2 linked regions of the Oryza sativa Japonica Group genome follow. Each later gene encodes a partner of the first gene's protein in a complex. Links are inferred from orthologs where the notes say so. Each region holds a gene or a part of one and is shown in the gene's direction. Other genes may lie near its edges.

The links. Proteins that work in one complex are often made in the same cells at the same time.
Region 2: large ribosomal subunit protein bL28c (region 1) and large ribosomal subunit protein bL34c share a complex: the UniProt entries of both Arabidopsis thaliana proteins name them as parts of the 50S ribosomal subunit. The link is inferred for Oryza sativa Japonica Group from reciprocal best matches to the Arabidopsis thaliana genes PRPL28 and AT1G29070.

Annotation. Positions count from the first base shown.
Region 1 is NC_089039.1:104,682-108,911, reverse strand, and holds large ribosomal subunit protein bL28c, read left to right. Parts: upstream 1-1,430; 5' UTR 1,431-1,473; coding exon 1,474-1,654; intron 1,655-3,269; coding exon 3,270-3,502; 3' UTR 3,503-3,819; downstream 3,820-4,230.
Region 2 is NC_089035.1:34,740,114-34,743,785, reverse strand, and holds large ribosomal subunit protein bL34c, read left to right. Parts: upstream 1-1,283; 5' UTR 1,284-1,307; coding exon 1,308-1,551; intron 1,552-2,664; exon of another isoform or gene 2,665-2,665; coding exon 2,666-2,925; 3' UTR 2,926-3,098; downstream 3,099-3,672. Other genes in the region: uncharacterized protein, read right to left, coding at 1-1,050. UniProt on the Arabidopsis thaliana protein: This protein binds directly to 23S ribosomal RNA.

The DNA of each region.
Region 1 (4,230 bases):
GCAAATTTCTTCAATCCATATCACTTCCATCATTTAGTGTCAGTTCTCTGTTCTCACACGCCGACGAGTTCATTCGTCCACCACGAAAGGAGCTCCTCTGACTTAAAGTTAGAAGGATATGAGTCCTTGACAGGTGCGGCCCACCTTTATAGGCCCACATGTTAGAGATGCATGTCCCTTTGACTTAAGTTAGAGGAGCCTTGTCGGTCCACCACACACCAACACTGGTAGGACAGACAACAATCCTCCACACCGCCTGCGAGAGGGTCCTCTTCCTGTCTTCCTGGCCATCAAGGAGGAGAGAATCAACTCCACATCTTCTCGGGTGACCTCTTTGATAGCTCCTTCGGCGAGGGATGGGTGGGCGGAAGTCAAGGAGGCTGTTCTTGAAGACGGAAAAGAGAAGTAGGGGCCGGCTCGACCTCGACCCGGTGTTGCGATGTCGTCGCGAGCATGCCGGTCTGTCTCCTCCGAGAGCTCCACTGTCTCCACTTCAAAAGCCATCAACGAGGAGGAGCCCAAGAGCGATGTGGAGGAGTATGAGGAAGAGGAGGAGGTGGACCAGTGGGTAGAAGTGTGCTATCTGGAATGGAGGTTGATGCGAAGGGGATCTGGAAGTGGGAGCCAGACTTTTGCTACTGTCCCCATCTTGGATGCTCGCGAGAATGTGTGGGAGTTGGTGGTGTGCGACACGACATTGTCCCTCTAGTTCACTTGCTTCTTCCCCAACACCTCCATCAACAACGTCACCCTCCGCATGCGTACTCATCTTCATCACTACCGCTTGAGCTCAAGTTTTGCCGCCACCACCGCAGCACCCCCTTCCCATCCCCGCGGCTCCTCACACTCCTGACACGACTGGGCTTTCCTGCAGATAGCTCATGAGCTCGAACTCGCCGGCTCCCTCACCTACCTCCTCTTCTCCCCCGTCGTGGACCACTGGAGCCACCTCATCACTGACCTCCCACCACCATTACCACCTCCCGTGGATGGGCTCGCTGGCCGCCGCCCCTCTCCCCACTGGAGGAGATGGGAAAGAGAGGGGGGAGGTGGAGAGATGGGGAAGAGAGGGGACAGGTTGGGAGGAAGTCCACTTTAAATTTTAATTTTCTGATTGGTATGCCACGTTAGTGAAACCAGTCATCCATAATACCATGAGACTGACTTGGAAGGTTTTTCCAAAATGGGGGGGAGGGGGTGAAGATTGCTGGTATTGCGGTTTAGAGATACCATTAAACTCGACGTAAAATAAGGGATAATAAGTGGACTTATCACTGTGAGTAATACTAGTAGTAATGAGAGTTGGGCTTGGGCCGCCCTTTTCTACAGTACTACGATATATGGGCCCCTGCTCACACAGTACATAGAGAGACGATTATGATAGGATAGGAGAAACAAGTTGTACGCCACGCCGCAGCCGCACAAGACTTGATCCTCTTCTTCTTCTTCTTCTTCCTCCAGGCTCCAGTGGCGATGGCGACCATGCTCTGCTCCTTCACGCCCGCCACCAGGGCTCCGCTCCTTCGCACTTCCTCCTCCTCTTCCTCTCTCGGCTTCGCCACCTCGCAACTCGCCGGCCTCAGCCTCGGCCTCTCCGCCGCAGCCACCACCGCGCCCTCCGCCGCCGGTCCCAAGCTCCACCCCATCCTCGCGCGTACGTCATCTGCCTCCTCCTTCTTCTCTCTGTTTCGAGCCATCCACCCGCAGATTGACATTACAGTTTTATATTACACCACCAATGTCATTTCTGCTACTATTAAAGTTGTTACTTTATCCTTCGTTTTTTTTTTGCGCTATCCAATACTCCACTGTATATATACTACTACTAGAACCAGATGACCTATTTGTTAGTAATTGATTGCTTTAATCTCTCGAAAATAGACTAGCTGTCAATCTATTACCATAAACTCAGATCTTTCTTTGTATTTTTAAGAGAATGGAAGCTTTATTGAATTTGGTCGTTCTTTGCACCATGTCAGTGCACAACCAATAGATACCACACAACAAGAAAAACAGAACTAACTCAACGATTAAGGACCTAATATCGGAAGACTAGGTTGCCGCTCATGTGCCTGGGTAAAAAAAAAAAACCTTGACCACATGCTCCAAATGAAGACAAGCCGAACAGACAAAACCCCTGTAATCTGGCTTCTTGAGAATAATCCATGATCGGAGCCAATGTGTGATCAAGAAAATAACCTGCAAAGAAGAAGAAACAATTTTCCTGTCAAAAATCACATCATTCCTTTATAGCCAAATAGCCCAACAAGTCAACTCCTAGTAGAAAAGGAGGCCTAGACTCTTTGTTTTGTCGCAAACTCCATTGTCCAGACATATGTGACACACTCCTAGGTGAAGAAATGTTCGATGCAATCTGGATTAAAGACCAAACTGATCGGGCTAGCCGACATTCAAAAAATAAATGCTTTATCGTTTCTTCCTTGTGGTAAAAACAATAGGTCTTATTCCCTTTTCAATTCCGTTTAGCCAGGTTATCTTTTGTTAACACCACCCCTCGACATAAATACGATAGAAACATTTTCACTTTGAGAGGGATTTTTAACTTCTAGATATGTTTGTTAAAATTGGGAACTCTTGTATGTGCAAGATAATGAGTTTTAACCAAGAATCTTCCATCAGGTGTTAGATTCAATTTAAAGTCATCTTTCTCGTGTGACAACACTATATTAGCAATGCGTGGAAAGAGATGATTCCACGCCACTAACTTAAGGCCAATAATATCCTTGCGCCAAGTGAAATTTAACAGGGTTGTTTAGAATATATTTGAAATGGTTGCTTGTTTATGTCTGACAACCATCTCTTTGTTTCTCTAAGACATAAGCAGAGCTTCTTCTTCTTACTAGTGTATATAAGAAAGAAGGGGGAAAAGAAAAAATATAACTATTCTGGCCATTTCAAGTTATAGTTTTAGTTTTATTCTAAGTCAACCATTCATAACTTTAACTATCAATTTCTTATTTAAAAAGATAATTGTGACTTATCAATTTCTAGAAATTTGTAAAGTTTAACAACATGTTAATTGTACTATATATTATGAAGGTACTTTTCATGATGCATATATAAACACATAAATATTATGATATTAAATGTTTGGCTTATGATAAAGTTAAGGACAAGTAATTTAAAAGGGTGAGATTATACTTTATCTTTTGTTTGCATGATGCCACAAATTATAGAAACTAGTAGTAGTAGGAACAAGATGGCGTGTATGGTGATGTTGTTGTATGATGTGGGGGTGGGTGACTCAGGCCGGATATGCCCCTTCACGGACAAGAAGACCAACAGGGCGAACAAGGTGTCCTTCTCAAACCACAAGACGAAGAAGCAGCAGTTTGTGAACCTGCAGTACAAGAAGCTGTGGTGGGAGGAAGGCAAGCGCTTCGTCAAGCTGCGTCTCTCCACCAAAGCCCTCAAGACCATCGAGAAGCATGGCCTCGACGCCGTCGCCAAAAAGGCCGGCATCGACCTCAACAAGAAATAAATCAAATCATCATCATCATGATGCATACATACATGTATTCTCTCATCAATTGCCGCTGTGCTGAATAGACCAGAGCTGTATGTAGTCCATTATTAAATCCATTCATCTCGATGATGCAATTTATTGTAGAGTACTACAGTATGCATTCATCGGTGGTGGTGGCCGGCTTCGTTTCCTTAAATTTCCTTTTATCCCGTGTTGCTGCTGCAAGTCCGGCTCGAATTGTTTGCTACTAGTGTTTCATTTCGGTCGAGTTCCTAATTAATACTGTATGTTGGTTACGAATTATAAGATGGATGGATGTAACTTGAGCAGCATCAGGTCGTGCAGTTGGCATCTTGCGCTTTTCACTTTAGAGTGTCTTCCAGTCTAAGCTGAAATTGATTAATTATTTTATTTCCTTTTTGGCTATTGATATTTAATAAGAGCCTAAATGAAAGAATTAACTTGTACAAAATTGAAAAGCTGTTTGTTTTGTACAAAAGGAACTCCTACGCCAATATTGATTGTTCTACTGCTATGGCCTGTCTGGTTTGAGATAGCTGAAATTGATGGATTGTTTTATTCCCCTTTTTAGCTATTGATATTTAATAAGAGCCTAAATGAATAATGAACCCCTACAAAATTAGAAGGTTGTTTTTTTTCTCTCTAAAAATGTAGAGACGAGAAAAAGGTGTTGAGTTGTAGACGTGGAGCAACCCGGCAGCTCCACACACGCGCAACCTCTG
Region 2 (3,672 bases), on another chromosome or scaffold:
AAAATCTACTTGCATCCTTGATATGATACCATCAACAATGTCCATCAAGCTTGGCGCCGTGCGTATTGCTCCCTGCGGTGGACGGAGGACATGCTCAGCTTCGCCCTCGCACACATTGTACCAATAATTCCCTGGCTCCACGTCCCCAAATTTCCTAACGATCAGGGGATCCCTCGACTTGGAGAACTTGGTGGGCGCAACCCTGCTGTCCTCGATGATGCGGACTCCAAGCTGACCCTGTGCTCCCCACTTGTCCCAATCCTCCCAGAACCGCTTGTGTTCAACGATCCCGACCACGGATTGCAGGTGCTCAATGTCAATATAGAAGGCGAGGCGCTTGCCCTCCTCGGGCATGCCCCCGGCGTAGGCGGCGGCGAGACAGACGCTGAGATCGAGGACGAGGGTGCGGTTGAGGTAGCGGGCCTCGGCGATGGAGCAGAGGAGACTACGAAGATAATGCGGCATGGGCTTGCACCGGTCGCCGCCGCCAAGGTAAGAGAGGTACTTGCCCGCGGCGAACTGGGAGCGCGAGAGCGCGGGTGGGGGCGGCGGGGCGGTGGCGTTGGTCCCGCCGCGGCGGGGCTTGCGGGCGAGGGGGCCGGAGTGGTATTCCCCGATGGAGGTAACGGAGTAGGCGCAGGTGACGGGGTCGCGGGCGACGGAGAAGCGGCGGTAGTCCTTGTAGTTGGCGGAGGCGGTGGATCGGGCGCGCCAGGCCATGTCGCAGGAGGACGACGGCGGGTCGCCGGGGACGGGGCGGCCGAAGCGGTTGAAGTGGACGTCGGGGAAGGCGTCGATGGCGCGGCGCATCATGAGGTGGAAGAGCTGCGGGTCGGCGCAGTCGAGCGTGGAGGTGGTGTCGCAGCTGGCCTGATCCTGCTGCTCCAGGTGGGACGTGGTGGGCGTCAAGGCGGCGGTGGGAGGGGAGAGGGAGATGGGGAGGTTGCGGAGGGTGAGGAAGAGGAAGGCGACGAGCAAGAGGGCGGCGGCGGCGTGGGCGGAGGAGGTGATGAGGGCGCCCCGCCCCAGCAACGGCCGGCTCGGGTCCATCCGGCGACGGCGACGGCCGACGGCGATGAGATCTGGTGGCTGATTGTGTAATAAAGCCCCGTCTGCAGGCGGCGGACGGTGGTGAACTTGTTTCTAGGAAGACGACGAACTGTTCCTCTTAATGGGCCTAACATGAGTGGGCCTAAGACGAAGGCCCATGATTTGGCCCAAGAATCGCATCTCGTCGTGGATAAGACGATAAAGCAACATTGTGTGGGGATAGCCATAGCCCTGCACCGCACCTCGACTCCCCAAACATGGCGCTCGCCCTCGTCTCGCCAATGGCGGCTCTCTCACTCCACTCCGGGAGGATCTCAGCGGCGGCTATCGGCGGCGGCCTCCGCTCTCGCAGGGCATCCCCGATGGGCGCCGCCGCCACCCCGTTCCTCCGGAGCTCCTTCGTCTCCTCCTCCTCCACGTCATCCGCCTCCGCCTCCCCCGCCGCGCTCTCTGCCGCGGTCTCGGCGTCGCTGACCTTCACCTCTGCCTCCTCATTTGCTGGTGAGAATGTGTACTTTACTCGTTCCTGATTCGCTTCGTTCTGTTGCTACCATTTGGGTTGGGGAACTAGATGGAGGAGAGAGTTGCCTGCAAAGAGAAAGGGAGGAATGAACTTTTGTGCTGCTGGTTTCGGCTTTAAGTACTGTACAATGGAGTGTTTATACTGTCAGATAGGTAGCGTGTACAGTTAATCAGTGCTTAATGTCAGAAGATAACTAAACTAAACTAGCGATTTTAATGCAATTGATATATTTGAAAGTTCTGATGGTATTCTGGCAATTTCCTGAGAAATCTTAAATTCAAACTCTGCCGTACTTGTTAGCTGCTGTACGCAGCTTGTTATAATCTGCAATGTCTGATCCTAAAGCCCACGCATTCTTATAGTTAACCATGTGCTAGAGAATTTTGCTTAAGATGTGGATTCCGATTAAGATTAAAAAAAATCACTTGTTTACACATCCAGTTTTTTAGTGTAAGAACGTGTATATATATTCATAATTCAGTGATTAGTTCTAGATGGTTCCATGTTAGGAAACCTACACGGCTGAAAGTTTCTTTTCTTCCTCCATGTACTGTGATACTGATATTGTGATTTCCAGTAGTGCCAGATGGACTGTAGATTGTAGTACATTCTTGCGACAGAATCATGAAAACATCACAAAAACTCAGGAAACTCCACTTTTTGGAGCGAGCGCATGAGCTTAATTTAGTAAACTCATTATGAAATATATCATCTAACATAATTATACTACGAACTAACGAAATCACTGAATCAAGAACGTTTAACTGGACAACTCAACTTTTTAAACAGTTCAGTTACAATTAATAGCCTTGCCACCTAAAGCAAAACCAAAATGCTCCTAAAACAAGCCAATAACGTTAGATTAAAGGAACTATTGCAATGATATTATCCTTTTGGAAAATGAACTGTACTTTACATACTAGAGTTTTTTTCCAAATGATCTTAGAGAACAAAAACACAAACTAAGGGCAATCAAATAGCCGGTTTCTGTGCTGTACTGTTGTATTTAGCAAATCCATGTTCTTATGTATCAAACCATATTTGTTCCAACCTACAAATGATTTCAGTATCCTAATATGTTACATATTTCAGGTTCATCTTTGGGAATTGAATTCAGCTACAACAGAGTTACAACAGGAAGATCCCGGATTCTGCAGATTAGGGCTGGAAAGGCTGCTCTGTGCATGACCAAGAGAAATAGATCTAGGAAGTCGCTTGCCCGTACACATGGTTTTCGCAGACGGATGAGGACTACTGCCGGAAGAAAGGTCCTGAAGCGCAGACGCGCCAAAGGAAGAAGGGTTCTCTGCACAAAGACGAACTCCCCCACTGGGAAGAAACGAATGTTCTGATTGAATCGCATTCTAAGTCGCTCTTTGTCACAATTGTAAGTGTATTTTTTTATCCCACGTTCTCGGTTATACTCAACCATAACAATTGGTGCAAATCCTTCACCCGGTGTCCGGTTAATGTGTGAAGTACATTATCAACACAAATTCAAGTTAGCCTTTTTGCTTGTGCAGTATTTAGTAGTTGTTTGCTGTGGGAATATGTTCTCCTTGATCTGCATTGCCATGGTTTTCCTCTGATCTATCTTGACTGCATTCTGAGCATAGATTTTGCCAAAGGGCCTAAATGCTAACTTGAGCAGTTGCTCAAATAAACTCATCAATTTTTCTATTCTGTAGTAGAACGTCCCTTTTATTTTCTGATACAGTCCAGTGAATTTTAATATTCAGATCATCTCATCATAGTCACTCCATGCTCCACTGTGTAACACAATTTATCCACCTCCTCTGTGCCAATCTCTTTGGTACACACTTATTTGTAAAACAACCTGATTGCCCATCCAATCCTCTGTCACCTTATAATTTTGCTACTATCAGGCGAAAAAATGGATAATATCCAGAACTCAACCTGGAATAAATGAAAGGCAACAAGTAGCAAAGAGAACATTTACATTCTAACAAACTGAATCCCTCCTCTTCTTCACTCGCATCGGCAAGCCGCCTTCCATCCTCAAGGTCACCGAGAACACAAGCCCTGGCCGTCCCTCGCCGCCGACGAACCTGAAGCTGAACCTCTCGAACACGCACGCC